Linked DNA regions of Sus scrofa. The protein of the gene in region 2 purifies or fractionates together with the protein of the main gene of each other region. This does not show direct contact. Links are inferred from orthologs where the notes say so. Each region holds a gene or a part of one and is shown on either strand. Other genes may lie near its edges. The genes, in order: FBXL3, CRY1 and SKP1.

What was found.
Region 1: the proteins of CRY1 (region 2) and FBXL3 purify together in Homo sapiens (affinity purification with mass spectrometry; 4 studies listed by BioGRID and IntAct, counting the BioPlex papers as one, with this or other methods). This does not show direct contact. The link is inferred for Sus scrofa from reciprocal best matches to the Homo sapiens genes CRY1 and FBXL3.
Region 3: the proteins of CRY1 (region 2) and SKP1 purify together in Homo sapiens (co-immunoprecipitation; 4 studies listed by BioGRID and IntAct, with this or other methods). This does not show direct contact. The link is inferred for Sus scrofa from reciprocal best matches to the Homo sapiens genes CRY1 and SKP1.

Annotation. Positions count from the first base shown.
Region 1 is NC_010453.5:49,137,813-49,141,462, reverse strand, and holds part of FBXL3 (F-box/LRR-repeat protein 3), read left to right. Parts: intron 1-194; coding exon 195-366; intron 367-3,650. UniProt on the Homo sapiens protein: Substrate-recognition component of the SCF(FBXL3) E3 ubiquitin ligase complex involved in circadian rhythm function. Plays a key role in the maintenance of both the speed and the robustness of the circadian clock oscillation.
Region 2 is NC_010447.5:13,274,232-13,278,498, forward strand, and holds the start of CRY1 (cryptochrome-1), read left to right. Parts: upstream 1-1,317; 5' UTR 1,318-1,945; coding exon 1,946-2,103; intron 2,104-4,267.
Region 3 is NC_010444.4:136,459,331-136,462,980, forward strand, and holds part of SKP1 (S-phase kinase-associated protein 1), read right to left. Parts: intron 1,388-3,650; coding exon 1,247-1,387; intron 347-1,246; coding exon 311-346; 3' UTR 1-310. UniProt on the Homo sapiens protein: Essential component of the SCF (SKP1-CUL1-F-box protein) ubiquitin ligase complex, which mediates the ubiquitination of proteins involved in cell cycle progression, signal transduction and transcription.

The DNA.
Region 1 (3,650 bases), on a different chromosome or scaffold from region 2:
CCTCAGGTAAAATGGCCCTTCTCAAAGATGGCCTATCTTTACCATATTCCCACAGTAGAGTGAGGGGCTGCTACCCAAACACAGTTGTGAAATGTATCGTTAAGGTTCCAGTGAACTATATGCTTAATATATGAAAAACCCTCAATTCTCATTTGTAAGAACTGAAACAATGTCTTAAATTTTGTGTTTTTCAGTCTCACTTTATCTCTGCACTGACAGTCGTGTTTGTAAACTCCAAATCCTTATCCTCGCTTAAGATAGATGATACCCCAGTAGATGATCCATCCCTCAAAGTACTAGTGGCCAACAACAGTGATACGCTCAAGCTGCTGAAAATGAGCAGCTGTCCTCATGTCTCTCCAGCAGGTTTGTTGCAATTCTTGCCAGATAACGTTTTAGTAAAATGTATTGATGTGTTTATCTAACAAAGGAGAGTTATGATCATTACTGTGAAGGTGGGTTCAAATGATTTCCTCTCTACTGTATACACATTTTTAAATGTCATAATACAATAGCATAAATTGTGTAGCACTCCTAGCCTAGACACTTATTTTCAAATCTTATTTGGCAGTTTGTGTCCAACCTGTGCTAGGAAACGGATAAATTAAAGGACAGTGTGAGGTTGGCCTGAGATGTAAGATAGGATTTTCTCTAATTGTGGTTGAGCTAACAGGGTTTTGAGTCAGAGCCATATCATAGTTGCTTTTCTTCCCACTATGTAGAGAAAGAAGGATTGTGCAGAAGTTGTTGCCTTAGATTTTGCAAGATAATGCTTTTCCTAAGTTGAGTTTTGGAGTCAAGAACCCATCAGATGGAGGAATAGCTTTATAAAAGTTCTTTCCAACTTTTCTTGTGTTTACTTTTCTAAGTGTTACTACATTATTGAATTTGAGATCATTTAAACTTTAAGTGGTTTGCACTGTGAAGCAAATATAAACCTACACTTCATATTAGTCTGTAGCTTCACTCCTGACTCACCCTCCCATTGTTGACCTCCCAACCCTTTGGCTGTGTTATTTGGGAAACCTGTTTTTTTTTTTTTTTTTTTTTTTTTTTTTCTCTCCTGTCTTTTTAGGGCTGCACCCACGGCTTATGGAAGTTCCCAGGCTAAGGGTCGAATCGCAGCTGTAGCTACGGGCCTACACCACAGCCACAGCAACCCACTGAGGCCAGGGATCTAACCCACATCCTCATGGATGCTAGTCGGGTTCGTTAACTGCTGAGCCACGACAGAACTCCTGGGAAACCTGTTTTGATCTCTTTACGGAACATGTCCCACCTTCTTGTTAAATCTAAAGGCTGGCCTTTCCCCAGGAAAATGATTCCGTCTCAGATGGAGATTGCTCGCTGCCCTTCCATGTCTCCCACATGGAAGAGCTGGTGATGGGAATGTCGAGGTCGGCTGCAGTGTTTTCCTAGCTTTTCCTGCTTCCTCTAGATCATTAGTGAAGGTGATACACTAAATAAAACAGAGGCTTAGAAGAGTGGGCTTCAGCTCTTCCTTCTTATGTGACCTTGGTCACATTTTACTTTCTACTGTGTGGGTTTCCCATGAGAGTAAGGTTCATACTTCGTAGCTTGAGTGTACAAAGTTCTTTGTATCCTGACCTCCACCTATCTCTTTAATCTTGCTTGCTGTTTACTCACGTGCAGCTTTATTTGAGCCCTATGTAGTGACAGTTCTTTGTACATGTCTGTGGTCAGTACAGTTTATCTTGTGGAGTACCTTTAAGAATTTTTTTTTTTCCACTTCATCCATCTAACTCCAGTTCAGCCTTCAAAATTCAGTTCAAGTGTTCCAGTTTTGTTCCTCTTTCACCCTCCTCCCAGGTTTAGAACCCCTGCCTGTTTCCATAGCACCCTGAACATAACTTGTAGCACTTACCACACTGTATGAGAGCCTTTGGGGCTCTGATTTCTTTGTGAAATTGAGAGCTTATTTTTCTTTTTATCCTGGTACATCCAGTGTTCATTTATTTTTTTTAAATATACACATCAATTCTCATAGTATGTTAAGACCAACCTTGCTTGGTCTTAACAAGCTCTAATGGCATTTGGACTAGTTGTTTTGGGAACAGAAAAGAAAGAGCGCCTGTAATACTTTTTTAACATAAGGGTATAAACATAGAGGATTTTATTTTCAAATTTAACATTTGTTTGGAGTGTCTGTCATGGCTCAGCGGGTAAGAAACCCAACAGAGTGTCTGTGAGGATGTAGGTTCGATCCCTGGCCTCACTCAGTGGGTTAAAGGATCCAGCATTGCCCCCAGCTGCAGCATAGGTCGCAGATGTGGCTTGGGTCTGGTGTTGCTGTGGCTGTGGCTGTGGCATAGGCCTGGCAGCTGCAGCTCCCATTCAGCCTGTAGCCTGGAACTTCCATATGCTTCAGGTGTGGCCATAAAAGATAACAACAGCAAAAACCCCCAAGAATCTACTGTCTAGCACAGGAAAATCTACTCAATAGTTAGTAATAAACTATATGGGAAAAAAGAATGGATATTAAAAAAAATAAAATTAAACATTTGTATATTTTCTTTCTATCCATATTTTGCATATTTAGATGGTTTCTTTATCTAAGTTAAATTAAGGGCTACTTTCTGTTCTACCTTTTTTCCTATTTCATATAGTCCTTACAATTGACTGTCTATTACCAGACCACTAAGCACCATTTGACACTACTGACTATTATTATTTTTTTTTTTGGTCTTTTGTCTTTTTAGGGCTGCACCCAAGGCATATGGAGGTTCCCAGGCTAGGGGTCCAATCGGAGCCGTAGCCACCGCCTACGCCAGAGCCACAGCCACAAGGGATCTGAGCCGCGTCTGCAACCTACACCACAGCTCACGGCAACGCCAGATCCTTAACCCATGGAGCAAGGCCAGGGATCGAACCCACAACCTCATGTTTCCGCTGTGCCAGGATGGGAACTCCACTACTGACTATTCTTGATTTTCCTCCTCCTCTGATTTTTCCTACTCTATTTCCTTTTCTAGTTTCTCTTTTCATTGCTTAAATTTTTGTGTTTCACTGTGTTCTATTCTGGGCCCTTCATCATTTTATTCTGTAAACCTCTGGTCTATGTTATCTTCATCAGGGGCTTCAGTTATGTTCTCTGTGTTAACACCTACGTTGAGTGCTTCTGGAACTCCAGAGCTGTGTGTTGAGCTGATGATGGCCCAGCGCCTCTAGAATGTCTCACTGCTACTTCAGATTAATGAACATCCTTTTCCCTATTGAAATCTCTGGCTTCTCCCTTTTTTACTGTCTCAGTGAATGGTACCACCCATTTAGTTGCAGGGACCTGAGAGACATCCTTGACTCCTCCTACCCTTTGCATTCCTTCAATCACTGAGGTCTAGTGATTCTCTCACTGATTCATGCTCTGAATCTCTTTGCTGTGAACTGAATGTTTGCGTTGTTCTCTTCCACCCCTCACCCCCTGCCACGAGTCACATGTTGAGGCCCTACTCCCTAGTGTTGGTGTTTGAAAATGAGTTGGGAGGTATTAGGTCCTAAGGGAGAAACCCTCATAAATATTAGTGCCCTTCTAAGAAGGGGTAGGAAAGATGATTTGATCTCCTTTTCTGCCATGTAAAGACACAGTGAGAAGGTGGCCATGTGCAAGCCAGAAAGAGTTTTGGCCCTCACCA
Region 2 (4,267 bases):
TAAGATTATTATGAGGGCTCATAATAACCAATATAAAGTGCCTGACCTATAGTAGGTGTTAAGTCAAAGTTTTTATTAAATGGTTACTCCTCTCAAAGATATATTAACAATCTATATGCCATTAAAAACCCTTCAGTCTCTGAGGAATGCACAATTGACAGTACTGATGCTTTTATAAAAAGTTAGTACTTTTAGGTGTAATGAAAGTTACATACATCCACATACAGCTATTTAAGAAAAAAAAAAACCCTTCTTTATTGAATGGACAATAGGCAAAAATAAGGCAATTCTACACAAATCAATACTACTTACAACTGTTGCATTTGGATGCTTGAAAATAATTCTTGTGTCTTTAGACACAATCTGCTTACTTTCAAACTACCTAAAATGAAACATGAAACACTTTTTAAAAGTATAATAGGCTCTGGAGCATGAAGCATTGCCTCTAGAAAGGTAGGCAAAGGCCCCATCACAAAGAGCCCTATAAACCGCACCAACTTTAAGAAACTAGGGCTGACAAGTTGACAATATACAGATGGTATCAAGGAATTGCAGTAACACCTGGCACCAATCCTATGAATTACCCCTCTTCCCCAGAGCACGTGCAAGGGTGCTCTGCCTCGAGGGCCACAAGAATGAGAAGGACGCCAGCTCTACACGCTCCAAGGCAGGGTTGGGTTCTGCAGTCAAGCTGGAAGGAAGCACATGGTTTGGGCTCCACGTCTAAGGGGAGCCTCTTACTCCGCTCTTTTCACCGCATACCGCCCGCACTCCCCACCTGGCGCCCCCACCGCCTCCTGTTAAGACACCAGGAAGCTTCCTGGCCTTCCCCCGAAACCCCCCGGGAAAAAGCCCCAAGCGCGCTCCAGCAGCCCGGCCCCGCCTTCCTCGCCTCCCTCCGTAAGGCAGCGAGTGCGCACGCGCGCCTACCGGAACTGAGCGCGCGCTCGCGAACTCCCCGCATACCCGTGCTCATCCGGGTCTCGGAGAGCCTCGGCCAATGGTGGCCGCTCACGGCCCCCGAGGGCGGGGCTAAATCTTGCCTCACACGGGGCCTCTGGTCACCGTGGGCGCTTTCAGGCAACGGCGACTCGTCCGCGGAGGAAAGGACAGAGGCAGAGAGTCTAGCGTCTGGGCGAGGGTCGACGGTTTTGAGATGGAGCGGCTGCCGTCTAAAAATTAGAGACTGAATAGCGAGCAGAGTCCCCAGTCAGAGCCGCTGTAGTAAACACACTTCAGAAACGTGAGGTGCCGGGGGTCACGTGGGGAGCGCTCTGTCCAATGAGGAGCCGAGGGCGGGGCCAAGGCCGCTGACGCGGCGGTGGCGGAGGAGTCACCCGGGCAGCCTCGGGACCGGTCTCGGGCCGGCAACCGTCCAGCGGCTTTGACCACCGCCTCAGCGTTCCGTCCTCACGCCTCTTTCCTGGGCCGAGAGGTAGCGTGGCCGACAGTCGCTGAATTCTCTCTCCTCCCTGTCGGTGGTTTGCCTCAGGCGGGCCGTTTGCGCTTCAGGGGCCGCCTCCGTGGGGCGAGGTTTCCGTGACGAATCTCCTGGGGCTGCCCGCGCCGGCTCGGGCCGTCGTGGCGGCTCGGGCTCGTGGAACTTGCTCATCCTCCGGGGGTCCGGAGCCCTCGAAGTTAGGCGTCTCATCCAGGCGGTCGTGGCGGGTGCCGGCTCTTAAAGGGCGTCACGGCAGGACTCCGCTGACTGGGCAATCTCCATTCATCTTCCAGCCGCACGGGCAGCGCCCTCTCCCTCGCGGGTCCCCTACTCGGACTCATTTTTTCCTTTCCCCGCTCTGCTGCCCTTTCCTCACTCCTTGGGTGCGGCGATTCTCCTGGAAGCGGGGGTGTCGGTTATGAGCTGGACCCTCTTGCCCTGAATTTCTCGGGGCAGGAACTCGGCGGCGCCGCCGCGCCGCCTGCCGCCCACCGCGCCCCCGGGATGGGGGTGAACGCGGTGCACTGGTTCCGAAAGGGGCTCCGGCTTCACGACAACCCCGCCCTGAAGGAGTGCATTCAGGGCGCCGACACCATCCGCTGCGTCTACATCCTCGACCCCTGGTTCGCCGGCTCTTCCAATGTGGGCATCAACAGGTGGAGGTGAGTCAAAATCCTGTGAGAAATTGATTTCGTTGTTTCATGAATTGGGACTTTACGTGCGATCGACCACATCTAAGAATGTAGACCTGGGACCGCTGTGCTTATGCAGTTTTAATTATTGCAGGTGCTTTAAGCATTAAATAGAATGGGCTTAATGGTTCTCTGGCCGAAGAGTGCCGGCAGCCTGGAACACCTTGGCCTTCAGCTATGAGTTATGTATCTCTGTGCTGATGAGGACTCTTCTGCGTTTATGGAAAATTCTTAGTGGGGGAGTTAAAGAACCACCCCTTCCAATTAAGTGGCCATGGATTGATTTCCTTGGCCGCCGTGTGACACTGAAGGGATTGCGGTTTTTAATGTTTACGTTTGTGTGTGTCTAGGTAACTCATAGAATGGAGAAAATCATTCATTCAGTATTGTCGCCTCCAAACCCAGTTTTCTTCCACCTTGAGGTTGTTTTGGGAAAAGCAAGGAAGACTACATTTCCCTTTGCTCAACTCTTTCAACTCCTCCTTGTGGTTGACTAGACACAGCACAGTTTTTCTTTCTAAGCAAAGTATAATCCTAGGATTCAGAGCACTGGAAGAAATCTTAGAGAAGTTTTACCATCTTTTCTCGAAATGCCAGGCTAGATGATTGTTAGACCGCCTGGTGGAATGAGAATATTCATTCAGCTGACAGATTATTGATCACCTACTGTATACCAGGCACTGTTTAAAACACCAGGGATACAGTTATTGAATGAGACAGACAGAAATTCTTGTCCTTTTTGAAGACATGTCCCAGAAAGTATATAGTATTTAGTGGTGATAAATGATGTGCAGAAATACAGAGAAAGGGGATGAAAAATACGACGGGGTGGGATTGGAGTTGCAATTTAAAATATGGTGATAGGGAAAAACCCATATTGAGCAAGATGATGAAGCAAGTAATAGATTACAGATACCTAAGGAAAAGCATTCCAGGGAGAAGGAACAGTAAGATAAAAGGTCCTGAGATGGAGATATTCTTAACCTTTGGAAAGAATAGCAGAAGAAACCGATCTACTGGAGCAGAGTAAATGAGAGGAAAAGTAGTAAATGAGGTCAAAGATGTAATGGGCCAGATTGAGTAGAGCTTTATAGGCAGTTGTCAAGATTTGGGCTTTTACTCATAGCAAAGTGGGAATAACTGTAGGAGTATGAGCAGAGAAGTGATGTGATTTGAATCAAGCTTTTAAAAAAGTCTCTGGCTGTGGTTCTGAGAACAGACTGAATTGTAGAGTGGAGGTGGGCAAGAAGCAGGAAGACCAGTTAGCAGTTCATTGCTTTCATCCAGGTGAGATATGATAATGGCTTAGACTGTAGTGATCATGGTGGACATAGTGAGAAATAGTCAAATGTTGCGTGTATGTTGAAGGCAGAACACACAGTATTTGTCAACAGATTGTATGTGTGACATAAGAGAAAGAGAAGGAATTAGGAATGATGTAAATTTTTTTGACTTGAGAAACGAGAAGGATGGAGCTGCTTTTTGCTAAGTGATTAGTGGGAAAGGCCATTGAAAGGGTGATTTGAGTTCTCTTTTGAACTTGGTTAATTTTGAGGTGTTTATTGCACATCCAAGTGGAGACAGCGGATAGGCAGTTGGATATATCTGCAGCTAAGGACAGAGACCCAGGCAGGAGGTATAAATTAGAGAATTATCAGTTTATAGATAATATTTAAAGCCATTTATTAATCCATTCATTCATTGAACAAATTCAGGTCATTCATCTACATGCCAGATACTTTTAGGTGCAGGGCATTCAGTATAAATAAAATAGCTAAAAAATCTCTACCTTGTTGAAGCTACATTCTAGTAGAGCCATGAGACTATATCAGAACATTAAGAGAGTGAGTATAGGTAGAAAAGAGAGGAGGTCCAAGAACTGAGCCTTGGGGAGTTCCCGTTGTGGTTCAGTGGATTAAGGAACCAATGTTGTCTCTGTGACAATGCAGGTTCCATCCTTGGCCTTGTTCAGTGGGTTAAGGATGCAGTGTTTCCACAAGCTGCCATGTAGGTCTTAGATGCGGCTTGGATTCACTGTTGCTGTGACTGTGGCATAGGTCTAAGTTGCAGCTCTCATTTGACCCCTAGCACAAGAACTTCCAACTGCAGGTGAGGCCACAAAAATAAAAAGGAA
Region 3 (3,650 bases), on a different chromosome or scaffold from region 2:
CAATAAACTAGGCAGAAATTGCTTTACATAAAGAGGCAAAGCCCAATATGCCACTTCCTATAGAGAACCCACAGTTCAATTTTATTCAGAGCAAAGAAAAGAGAAACTTTAGATCATACTAGAAGAAACTCAGCCATAGGTTTGGAATCTGTACTGAAACTACACATGCAATGAGAACAATATTCCACTAACACAACTGATTTGCTGCTGCATTTGTCGACTGTTTTTCGAATATTAACAATTATAAACAGAGCAGTGCAACTAGTATTTGGAAATATCCTTACAGTGTTTCAGCATCAGGCACAAGATTTCACTTCTCCTCACACCACTGGTTCTCTTTGCGTACCTACAAGAAATAAAGACAGATAGAAAGGAAGTACCTTAACACGTGTAGTCTTTCCTAAGTCTACTGCCTCATGATTCATCAGTAGCCTGTGAGGTGGGTCAGAAAGAGATAGATGGAAAACTGGAAAAACTAGGTTAAGAGTACCATTTTTTTTCCCCTCCCCAGTTTTTTATTGTGCCCTGCTCAAATAATCACTAAAAAAAAAGAGGAAAGGCAGAGTTCCCATCACGGCACAGCAGAAACGAATCCAACTAGGAACAATGAGGTTGGGGGTTTGATCCCTGGCCTTGTTCAGTGGATTAAGAATCCGCCATTGTCAGTGAGCTGTGGTGTAGGTCCCAGACGAGGCTCAGATCCAGCATTGCTTCAGCTGTGGTGTAGGCCAGCAGCTGTAGTTACGATTTGACCCCTAGCCTGGAAACCTCCACGTGCCACAGGTATGGCCCTAAAACGCAAGGGAAAAAAAAAAAGAAAAAAAAAAAAGGAAAGGCAATGAACAATTACAGCTTTAGTCACTACAGCTGACCTGGGCCAACAAAACCATTCTGATTTATTCATTTCTTCCCCATTCACTAAGTCGTTGTGAGGTATCCTGGCACACAATCACCCACAGATAGGGCCTGCTTTTCTCAAGTCAAATATTGATGACTTATATGTAAGGTTCTAGGTGCCCAAACTAGTAAATGCTAAGGAACAAATGATCAAACAGCACCTTTGGATGAATACTAATTGTTCTTACACTTATGAAAAACAGTATCATTAATATTTAGCACACAGAAGGTACCTTTTATCCCTCAAATAAGGTCAAGACTCCTTGCTATTAGTACTTCTTTTGCCTAGCTTGGGTTTTAGTCTTTCATAAAAAAGCATTTGATCAAGAATAAGCTGTGAGCCACCTACCTGGGCTTCTTCTTCTTCAGTGAAATCATTTTTGATATTGAAGGTCTTGCGTATTTCCTCAGGAGTTTTCCCCTTGATCATGTTAGCAACAGTCTTGCATGTAACATCAAGCAAACCTTTGATGTCTAAGTAGTTTGCTGCCTGTAAAGTAATTTTGTTGTTTTCACTTAAGTATACTTGATGTTTTAAATTAAATCCAAAGTTAGTGACTAAGAATCCGTATCTAATTCAGCTTAAAACGGTAGTCAATTTTAAGAAATGAATAAATGACAAATTCTTCCATGAAAGATTGTTGCATGCCCCCTTCTTTGTTATACTTCTGTAATACTGATCCTTGTGCTACCTTCAGCAAACTGCACTACCTCAAATGGTAAAGAATGGCCACTACTGGCAGTTTTATGTACGCACACACCTCAAATCTTGACAAAAATATTTACGGAATTCCAATATAAGCTGTTATAGAATCACATCTTAATTAATTCCAAAAGAATCAGCTTTCACTTTCTTTCATTTTCTCTACTGTTTTCTATTTTATTGATTTCTGCTGTTATCTTTAATACCTCCTCTCTCTGGGTTGAATTTCACCTTTCATTAGTTGTGTTTTGCTGTTGTTGTTTTGTCTTTTTAGGGCTGCACCCACGGCATATAAAGGTTCCCAGGCTAGGGAACCAAGCTGTAGCTGCCAGCCTACACCACAGCCACTGCCACACCAGATCCAAGCTGCATCTGTGACCTACACATAGCTCCCGGCAACGCCGGATCCTTAACCGAGCGAGGCCAGGGATAGAACTTGCAACCTCATGGTTGGATTGTTTCCACTGTGCCACGACAGAAACTCCATTTCATTAGTTTCTTTTTTTTCTTTTTTTGTCTTTTTGCCATTTCTTGAGCTGCTCCCACGGCATATGGAGGTTCCCAGGCTAGGGGTCAAATTAGAGCTGTAGCTGCTGGCCTACGCCAGAGCCACAGCAACAAGGGATCCAAGCCGCTTCTGTGACCTACACCACAGCTCACAGCAATGCAAGATCCTTAACCCACTGAGCATGGCCAGGGATCGAACTCGCAACCTCATGGTTCCCAGTCGGATTCGTTAACCATTGAGCCACGACGGGAACTCCCCCATTTCCTAAGTTTCTTAACGTAAAAGCTTAGATCACTGATTTGAGACTTTTCTCCTTTCCCAATACTTGTGTTTAGTACTGTCAATTTCCCTCTGAATGCTACTTAAGCTGCATTTAACAGATTTTCATACATTGTATTTCATTTCTATTACGTTCATAATATTAATTTTTCTTTTGATTTCTTCGATTCATGGGTTACTGTGAAATGTGTTAAGTTTTCAGATATTTGCAGATTTTCCAGATGGCTGTTACTGATTTCTAACTTAATCCCATTGTGATTAGAAAAAAAACACATTTTGTGTGACCTAAATCCTTTCAAATTTGAGACTTGTTTTAAGGTCCACAACATGGAAAGATACACTTGAAAAGAATATGTACTCTGCTGTCATTAGATATAATGTTATAAAAATATCAGGACAAGTTGGTTGTTATTTAAGCCCTCTATATCCTTACTGATTCTCTGTTTACTTGATTATTAGGGAGACGTATTATAATATCTAACCATGGCTGCAGATTTGCCTACTTATTCTTTAGAAGTCTGTTAGTTTTTGTCTCACTTTCTGGAAGTTCTGCTTTTAGGTAAATAAACATTTAGGATTCCTATGTCCTCTTAATAACAAACTGATCCCTTTATCATTATGCAACAACCCTCTTTAATCCTGGTAATATTCTTTGCTCAGAAATATACCCAAATATATATAGTCACTCCAGCTTTCTTTTGATTGTTGTTAGCAAAATATCTCTTTCCACCTTTTAAACCTAATTGTGACTTTATATATTTAAAGTGAGTTTTTTGTAGAGAGAACAGCTGTCTTGCTTTTTTATCCAATGTGACAACCTCTACCCTTTAATTGTGGTGTTTAGACCATTTACATTTAATGTGGTTACTGATACATGGACTTAAATATAGCACTGCATTTGAATTTAGAATTAAAATTCAGTATCAATGAATTTAACAATTTTAACTCAAAAGAGGTGCTGAAGGCTGTGCATTAGAGATGTCTTATACAATGCATTAAAAACATACCAGGGAGTTCCCATCGTGGCGCAGTGGTTAACGAATCCGACTAGGAACCATGAGGTTGCGGGTTCGGTCCCTGCCCTTGCTCAGTGGGTTAACGATCCGGCGTTGCCGTGAGCTGTGGTGTAGGTCGCAGACGCGGCTCGGATCCCGCGTTGCTGTGGCTCTGGCATAGGCCAGTGGCTACAGCTCTGATTAGACCCCTAGCCTGGGAACCTCCATATGCCGCGGGAGCGGCCCAAGAAATAGCAACAACAGCAAC